3 linked regions of the Kluyveromyces lactis genome follow. The protein of the gene in region 1 interacts with the protein of each later gene in a biochemical or structural test. Links are inferred from orthologs where the notes say so. Each region holds a gene or a part of one and is shown on either strand. Other genes may lie near its edges. The genes, in order: SPT8, ADA2 and SPT15.

Region 1 (3,766 bases):
AAAAAACCCGAGTTTTAACGATAGAATGCGAAGAGTATCGAGCCTCATCGGTCCATTTCTTCAATAAGCATTGGCTTGCGAAACCAAGCCGTTCATACCGTTATCACAGCTAGTCTATACGACTAGCTCTTTTCTTCTAGAGTGTTTACGGCGTACTTTTCGCAAGTTGTGGCCTGTTTTTCTGTCGCCAGTTGGGCTTTGATGCACATTTCAGCACCACCCAGTTTCCTTTCTGGTACGGCAGTTTCTGGGGTTTCCTAACTGTTTTTTTTTATTCGCTTCGTATTATGCTTTTCATTCTTTTCGTTCCCTCGAGGCGAAATCCCGTAAACGACGTTATACGATTGGCAGCATTACGTTTTTTAAACGAGGAAGGGAGGGAACCTAGGCAATGGACCGATATATTACTCACGTGATTTATCTTTCGCTTTGTGTATGATTAAAGTCTGATTATGTATATATAGTATATTACAGACATATATCGGTTTGACCGTTTAGAAGTTGAATCAAAGCTTTTGGTCTTCGACTTGGTCTCTGGTCAACCAGTGGAGTGCAAGCGGGTATAAACTCTTCATGTAGCCTAGTATCACGGTGTGTCGTCCGTTGTCCTTTCGCTCTTGGACGCCCTCTATTTCCTTTGTAAAGTGGATATCACGTTGGTAATCCAACGTTCTTGTGATGGTGCCATCTTGCAAATGGATAATCTCATCAGCCCATGGTGCTAGCCCATCGAAAATGTGCGTTGCATACACAACGCTACATTGTCTGTCTCTCGTTTCTCGATCCAGGAATTGGAATAGACGGTCACGTGCCACGACATCCAAGTCCACAGTGACTTCGTCTAATAGCAGAACTTTGAAGGGTTTCAATAAACCCATGCACAGTTGTACACGTCTCTTTTGGCCATCGCTAAGTTTGAACATTCTCCAATTGATATCCACTTCCAAGATTCTCACTAGCTCTTCACCTCGAGCCCTGTAGTGGCTTAGTCCGATACTCTCCAAGAGTTCCAGGACTCCTATATCCCTGTGTACAATAGCCATACTAGCCCATTCAGTGCCTAAGTAAGTAGTCAGTATCACGGACTCCTGGTCATTGTTTGGTGCGAATGGGTTCTTGTTTCCAACTTTTATGTTCCCACCGAGACACAAATGTTTACCACTTAGTAGTTTCAACAGCGTAGATTTTCCAGCACCGTTGTTACCCACCACTAAGACTTTCTTGTTCCATTCGACACTTAGCGATAGATCGTGGATTGCTGAGCGTTTACTTCCGGGGAATGCGTACGTTAGATCGTGCACTTCCACTGCTAGGTCGTTCGAGGCCATTATTTGTTTTGGCTTGTAGTTTTCAAAGGTTTGAGTGACTTGTTCTATAGTTAGATACCGATTGAGCGGTGATTAGAAGCTCCGCCAGTGTATAATAGGATCGTTATCTTGTTGTCTCCATTTGAAAGTGTTCTGATTCAATTTGATATTTGGAAAATAAAACTGTTGATATTGAAATGATTTCAACCAAAATAAACCTGTCTGTACGAATTTAGGACACAGTGAATATGACAGGAAACACTGTAACACATCACAACAAAACATTGTCCTTTCCCACCTAAGCCACGTTCCAATATGGATGATGATGTGGATGAAATCTTGAATCAAAATAACGTTCAAAATACTCAAGATGATGATGTTGACATGGACGATGAATTGGAGGATGTAGATGTGGATGTTCCGAACGCCGAAGAGGACGAGCCGATGGACGAGGAAGAACAAGATGAAGATGCTGAAGATGCCGATGATGACGACGATGAGGATGAAGATCGGAGCGATGACGAAGATGCTGAAGATCGAAGTGAGGATGATGATGATGATGATGATGATGATGATGAACGCAGTGATGACGATGATGACGATGATGACGAGGAAGAAGATGAAGAACAGACAGAGAATGGTGAAGAGGGCACGAGAACGGGGGAAATTAAACAATCTAATACCCACGAAATTGGAGATGATGATGCCGAGAGTGCCGAAAAGGAATCCGCAACTTCTGAGAAGGATTCTCCATCTTCTTCAGATGGGAAATCTACTGAAATGTCAAAGCTGGATAAGATACATCAATATTATACGACTCTTTATAGATCTGCATCTGTAGCAGAATCTTATAATATACTTCCAACTGCAGCAATACCAATACAGACTAATGTACAGGCATTGACCATGTCCAAGGGTCTACGGTATCTATTTCTCGGTGGGTCAGACGGGTTTATAAGGAAGTTTGACTTCTTAAATACTGTGGATGGTAAGCTATCACTAACTATTCAGCAGAAGAACGCATTGGTGGATTCAATTGTCAATGCGGGTATCTTGACTTCTTATTGGGAGAATGAAGTACCGCAACCTCCGTCAAAAGTAAAATGGGTAAAACAAAAGTCGGAGTATCTTCCTCTCGTCTCACCTGTCCACTCCTTGGCGGTTCAAAATGAATGTTTGTTCATACTAGCCGGACAAGAAACTGGCGGTATCGTAATGCAGGGTGTTAGATATTTTGAAGGGAGGACTGCACACTATTTTAAAGGTCATAAATCCATCGTTAACCATCTTGTACTTAATGATGAGGAAACTAGGTTTTTATCGGGTTCTTGGGACAAAACCGTCATTGAATGGGATTTGGAAACAGGAACTGATATAACCAAGTTCAATGCTACATCACAGTTGTCTTCATTAGAATTCAGACCCACCAATGCCGCCTACGAACTTCCTGAGCCTAACTTGAGTGGACACAATCCTGATGTCGATAGCAATAATGTAGTTGGCAACGGAGATGCAGCTGATATCGATGATGTTGATACTAATTCATTGTTTGGTGATGATGATGATGATGATGATCAGGATGATCAACACGTAGCTACCAACGATAATACCGAGAAAGCTGAAGATAATACTCAACAAGAAAACAAAGATAAAAATGAGATACAAGAACACACATCAGAAAAGAAGGTCGAATCAGAAACCATTAGTAAGAATACTTTAGCTTTGAAAACGGATGAAAACTTATTTTTGACGTCTTGCATTGATGGTAATATTCAAATCTGGGATCGAAGACAACCCTCGAGCGAAATTATCAAACTTGGTCGTAATGTTTCAACACCGCCATGGTGCATGTCTGCATGTTGGTCAGTAGACGGGGGTAAAGTAATAGCAGGTAGAAGAAATGCTGTTGTAGAAATATATGATTTAAGAAAGCCCGAGGTAGTGGAAAGCAAATTAAAATTGCCATCAATTTCAGGACCCGTTTCTAAAGTGAAGGCAATGCCTAACAATAGCCACGTTGTTGCGGCATCTAACGATAACATCAGAATCTTTGATATTAACCATATCGATAAAACCCCACTTATTATTCCAGGACATCATGGTGGATGTATCTCAAATCTTTATGTGGATCCTACATGTAGATTCATGATTAGTACAAGTGGTAACCGAGGCTGGCAAGGTACAGCGACCGATGTAACTTTAATCTATGATATTGAACTAAATTAAACATTTGATGAAGCAGTGTTATAAGTATTCGGTAACCTGTATAAAATAAATACATGTTAAATATATCTGTATCATTACACGGAAGGCAACTAAACGGACTTATTACGGACTTAGCACCTTTTTCAAAGAATCTATCAACGAAGAACTATGTATAGTGTTGGTATGTGAAGAACCCACCTTGATTACAGCCGCAATTATGCCTATAACGAGAGACCATTTAACAAATAGTGGAA
Region 2 (2,719 bases), on another chromosome or scaffold:
TCTGGGCACATCTTTTGTCAAGAAACATCAAGGATACTACGCCGTTACCAATTCGCAAGTCGATGAAGAGCTCAGCAGAAACGTTATGTCCTACCTGTTTGATAGATGCCTCGAGTATATCAACTTATTTTCGGAATTTCAAGATTTAAAAAGAGAATATCTGATAAATCACGTATTGCAATGGCTAAAGGACGAACATTATAATATTTCCCTTGAGAAAAGTATGCCAGAAAAATATGTGGAATTATTATTGCATGATGTTACATTAAATATCAAATTCATGCCTGCCGGCGAATTAAACATCGACAGTCTCCAATTGTCCTTCAAAAAGTATTCTGCATACATCAGCAAATTAGATGAGACGAATGCCAAACAACTTACTACATTATATTCTGGTTATTTGACCCAACATCTATTATCCAATATGGATAAATCTGATTCGAAGTATGCTATTTTGAATGCTATTATCAAGAAACTGTAATGAGACACTGTATACACATTTTTATGTACATATTTGACATTAAGTAGTAAGGTAAGCAGTGGAGCCAATATTTCCACAGTTTTATAACTCTAATTAAACCCAATTCTGAGAAACGAAGAAATCATAGATTCTGTTGGCCTTCGTTGCCTCGATATTCAATAAATCACGACACTGTTTCTTCGAGAGTTGACCTGCAGTCCGTATTAATTCTCTGAATAGTACCTCTTTGATGGCAATGTAAGGCTTTGGCAAAATTTTCAACGTTATGCATAACTGCTGTTCCTCAGCTGATAATAATTGGAAATCTGCCCCATGCTGAATGTCACTGATAGTCATTAGTTTCTTACGTCCACTTCCTTCGTTATAATTTTGAGCATAATCAGCTTGCGATCTATGGGCCGAAGTAGCTCTATAACGGGCAGTGTTACTAGATGAAGAAGAAGAGTACACTTGACTTCCAAATCTTTCCAATGTCATAATTCTTGCTTGTTTATCACGTTCATATTTAAGACCAGCTTCCAAAGTAGTGATACCGTTGCTCCTCCATTCTTGCAATTGATGAATTCTTGTTCGACACCGAAGTTCTTCCAATATGTCTTTGCTGAATTCTTCAAAATCCAGCGGGGACATGATTCTTGCGAAAGCCTTAATTTTGTTGTACAAATCTTTGGTTTCTTTTGAACGCTTCTTATCGAGACTTTGTAGTCTCCTGTATTCCATCAGACAATTGTCAAACAACAAACGCTTCTTTTCTGCTCTAGTCGTCAATCTCGAGTTGTAGATGTCAAGAATAGCCAACTTCACTTCAATATCTAACGGTTGATCATCGGCGTCGAAGACCATATCTTTGACCGGACCTTCGGCCTCATTCTCGAACTCCGTTTCGAATTCCAATCTACCTGGCATAAACCCTTGCACTTCATGGCATGACGGTTGTGATGCCATCGGTTTCCTAGGAGGTTCCAAAGGCCTTTCCCTAAATCTTTCCATGCGTTTCTTTCTTTTCTCCAAAAATTGTTCTTGCGGTTCATTAATGTCTTTTGTGATATCTGGAATAGGATAGTGTTCACTGTTCAAGTAAAACTTCAAATAATGATCATAAACTTCTTCCTTATCTCTAGATCCGATATGATCCGCAATATCTTGCCAGTTACCTAATCCCAGTGTCTGGGCTCCTTTTATCAACAGTAACTCTTCATCAGCGCCCCAATCCTCACAGAGAATCGGGTATGAGTTGGTTTCAATCACTTTATAGTCATGGCTTGGCCGGTGCTTACCGTTGTATAACCCTTTTGCGAAGCATGGCACACATAAATCATACTCTGGACACACCGCACATGTTATTCTGACTCTGTTTGTACAATCTGCAGAACAAATATCACAATGGAACTTGTTAGACATGGTGACGGTTGAACAAGGAGAAGCAGTTCAAAGTCAAACAGATGTAAAGCTAAATCACTATAACAGTTTGCGGGTCCTCGAAGTTAGTTATCTTTTTATATCAATGAGTTTGACTTATTCTTTAAACTCTCTTGAAATCACTTGTTGATTCTTTAGAACATCATAATTGAACTTTCCATGTAAACAGGAGAACAGAATGCGGGACTGTTACATCCTTACATTCTTATTAAGGATGAAAAATCTGAAAATCCTGAAATTCGAGAACGCTAATTTCATAAAATTTGATAAAACCAAAAGAGGAAATACTACTTGGCACTTCGTAAGAGAATTGGGACGGAGGGGAAAGGTGTGTGGACTGGTACTGGAAGACAGAATGTCTGTCTAGCTTGCTGTCATCCACACGAGACGCACTTTCGTTCCCGAGTCCCATCTCTGCCCACTTTGGATGCTACCACGCACTCTCTTACCAGCTGTTCCTTCGGTAACATTGTGTCCTCCAGTGACACCTTCTGCCTAGCTCTGTCCAGCTTAGTATTCCCTTTGCATTGTGCTTCGTTTCCGTTCCCCGGTTGTGAGTGAATCCTGGTTAGTCTGTTTGTTTCAACGTTTGCACCATGAAATTTCATACTGTCTAGTAATAATGAACTTTTAAAGATTACGGTAACATTTACAAGACCAATTGTTGACAGTACGTGTTTAACACTATTCTAGCATTTGAAACAAGGAACAACCGTAAGGACTAAATCGATACAAAATGGTACGTTAAGCATGATGATAACTGACAAATTGAAGCGAAAAGAACCATAAAGATAAGAGATTATGAGAAGAAGTGTTTTT
Region 3 (2,715 bases), on another chromosome or scaffold:
CATGAGCTGTGTCCATTTCACTAAAATAAACCCACATATCAGCTGGTATGCTGATCCCTTCATCGAGACAGTAATTAATAAACGAACACATCACAACGAAATGGAATTGTTCATGGTTTTTGATCACGAACAGAATATCTCTATAATCAGCCAACTTCCTTTCATTGCCTGGAATCAACTGCAATCTAAAATATTGAAACAGCACTTTCCAAAGAGACGTATCGAGCTTTGATATAAGCTTGGATAGATTTCGTAGTGCAATCTTATTATGACTTGGATCATTTTTATACAGCGGGATCTTACAAAGAAGAACGTAATCCACATACATCTTCTCATTGACCCATGTTGTACTTTGCAACCTCTCTCTGAGTGCTGAAAAATATTGCTCTGCGAGATCAATGCGATGAGTCTCTTCAATCAATAACGTAACAAGATCGTTAGTGATCTGAAAATCTTGCTCTAATGAAAGCTGGAAACCGCCATCCTTCAAATATCGCAGACATCGTATAGCCTGATTTATCAATGTATAATACTGACGAAGTTCCAATTCAGTTTCAATTTCCGTAACAACATCATGTGCAGTCAAAGTGTACTGTTTCGAGAGATGATATATCAAATCTAACTGCTGTGCTTTTCTGCTCAAGGACTTTTGATCAAAAGAGATCGGAACGTTTAGCAGCTCATCTTTGAAGGTGTCCATAGCTAGTATTGTGTATCATACATCAATCGGAAGCTATTTTCAGCATGGGCATATGCTGTTCTTGAGACACGTTAATTGACGTGTATTATTCTAGGGCAAAATGGTTATATGAAACTTTGAAATATATAAGGGAACCAGGATCCACGACAAAAAGAAGACAATAAGTAAACCACCGATGTACTCAGATCGACATGGTATAACTTCATCAAATAACAGGTTTGGAAATGACATGATTGAACTGTTTACAAGTCAAAGAAGTCTACTCTGGTGATTCATCATCATACTAATGAAAATTGATCATGTGACCTAGCTTCATCAGATTTCTTTCCCGCTTACAACTTTTTAACATAGGAAACCAAATATAAATCGTAGAACAAGTAGGAAAAACCAGTCAACACACAAAGATTGCAGTTTTAAGTCGTGTATTTCTGAGGCAGCCCTTTAAGTTATATCAATACTTGTATACTATCTGCTACTCCTACACGATCTATTTTTTTTGAAGACAGTTTTCTTCTTTGGTTTTCAAGACTTTCAATTGTTTGGTGAAATACTTCAAGAAGCCATCTTTCAGCGTTCGTTTATTATCAACTGTTCCGAGTATATCGTATCAAGTTAAACTCTACTACCGCAGCTTAGCTTAGAAGAAGATGTCAGAAGAAAATAGAATGAAACAGTTCCAAGAGGAAAACAAGATAGTATTTGATCCAAGTACACGATCAGTATGGGAAACTCAAGAAAAACAAGAACATGAATCTTTACCTGGAACAGATGCTAATGCGGAAGACGCAGATAAAGGTTCTGCCACTTCGGGAATCATACCAACCCTACAGAATATTGTGGCCACTGTGAATTTGGACTGTAGGTTGGATCTAAAGACGGTAGCATTACACGCTCGTAATGCAGAATACAATCCAAAGCGTTTTGCGGCTGTGATTATGCGTATCAGAGAACCGAAGACTACTGCATTGATTTTCGCATCTGGTAAGATGGTTGTTACTGGTGCTAAGAGTGAGGATGATTCCAAGTTGGCTAGTAGAAAATATGCCAGAATTATTCAAAAGATTGGGTTCAGTGCCAAGTTTACTGATTTCAAGATCCAAAATATTGTCGGCTCATGTGACGTGAAGTTCCCAATCCGTTTAGAAGGTTTAGCATTCAGTCACGGTACTTTCTCTTCATACGAACCAGAGTTATTCCCTGGTCTTATCTATAGAATGGTGAAACCTAAGATTGTGTTACTAATTTTCGTTTCCGGCAAGATTGTCTTAACTGGTGCCAAACAAAGAGAAGAAATCTATCAAGCGTTTGAAGCTATCTACCCTGTGTTGAGTGAATTCAGGAAGCTATGATGTTTTATTGGATGGTACTATAAAAATTCATTTTTTTATTTTATTAAACAATGCACTAATTCGATTCTCGGAGGTTTTGTCTCGTCTTCTGCAAGAAAACCCTTTGTTCCTTCTATCTTTCCTTCCTTATTGTCTTTTCATATCCATTCTGCTATAATAGAAGTCTTTATTATTGGCACCTTACTCTATGTATCATATAGTTCATACACAAATTTAACGACTAATAGCCATCGGTAAATGGTTTCCAGCTTGAGTTTGAAATGGATGAGGAATTCTGTCTTAGATAATGTTACAAAGTTAATTACATTTCAACAATATATTGAAGTTTAATGCTAGTATTTTTGGATCGTTAAGGGCAACATAAAACGATTAGCGGTATCCTTTATTTTCCAACTTGTTCTCCAACTGTTGTCTCAACAGGCGTTCTTGTTCTAGTTCTTTTTCGTATCTTAACTGAGTATCAGCTAAGATTCGTTTAAATTCTTGCTTCATCATTGAGAAAGATTGATGGTTAGAAGCAGATGTTGAGGATTTGATGTCACTGGATTCGGAAATTGCTTGTGAGAAGGATCTATCGATATCCATTGGAATTGATTGCATCTGTGAAGTGACTTTCGATTTCTCCTCGCGCTCCTTCAACTTACTATGATAGTGTAAGAGCTCTTC

What was found.
Region 2: the proteins of SPT8 (region 1) and ADA2 form a complex in vitro, tested with the Saccharomyces cerevisiae proteins (2 studies listed by BioGRID). The link is inferred for Kluyveromyces lactis from reciprocal best matches to the Saccharomyces cerevisiae genes SPT8 and ADA2.
Region 3: the proteins of SPT8 (region 1) and SPT15 form a complex in vitro, tested with the Saccharomyces cerevisiae proteins (4 studies listed by BioGRID). The link is inferred for Kluyveromyces lactis from reciprocal best matches to the Saccharomyces cerevisiae genes SPT8 and SPT15.

Annotation. Positions count from the first base shown.
Region 1 is NC_006042.1:819,601-823,366, reverse strand, and holds SPT8 (SAGA complex subunit SPT8), read left to right. Parts: upstream 1-1,622; coding exon 1,623-3,533; downstream 3,534-3,766. Other genes in the region: putative ATP-binding cassette family ATPase CAF16, read right to left, coding at 507-1,328; GTPase-activating protein GYP8, read right to left, coding at 3,636-3,766. UniProt on the Saccharomyces cerevisiae protein: Component of the transcription coactivator SAGA complex. SAGA acts as a general cofactor required for essentially all RNA polymerase II transcription. At the promoters, SAGA is required for transcription pre-initiation complex (PIC) recruitment.
Region 2 is NC_006038.1:117,689-120,407, reverse strand, and holds ADA2 (chromatin-binding transcription regulator ADA2), read right to left. Parts: upstream 1,883-2,719; coding exon 575-1,882; downstream 1-574. Other genes in the region: snoRNA-binding rRNA-processing protein UTP6, read left to right, coding at 1-481; RPS17B (40S ribosomal protein eS17), read left to right, coding at 2,637-2,639. UniProt on the Saccharomyces cerevisiae protein: Component of the transcription coactivator SAGA complex. SAGA acts as a general cofactor required for essentially all RNA polymerase II transcription. At the promoters, SAGA is required for transcription pre-initiation complex (PIC) recruitment.
Region 3 is NC_006041.1:892,605-895,319, reverse strand, and holds SPT15 (TATA-binding protein), read left to right. Parts: upstream 1-1,347; coding exon 1,348-2,049; downstream 2,050-2,715. Other genes in the region: cohesin-loading factor complex subunit SCC4, read right to left, coding at 1-700; PEA2 (Pea2p), read right to left, coding at 2,419-2,715. UniProt on the Saccharomyces cerevisiae protein: General transcription factor that functions at the core of the DNA-binding general transcription factor complex TFIID. Binding of TFIID to a promoter (with or without TATA element) is the initial step in preinitiation complex (PIC) formation.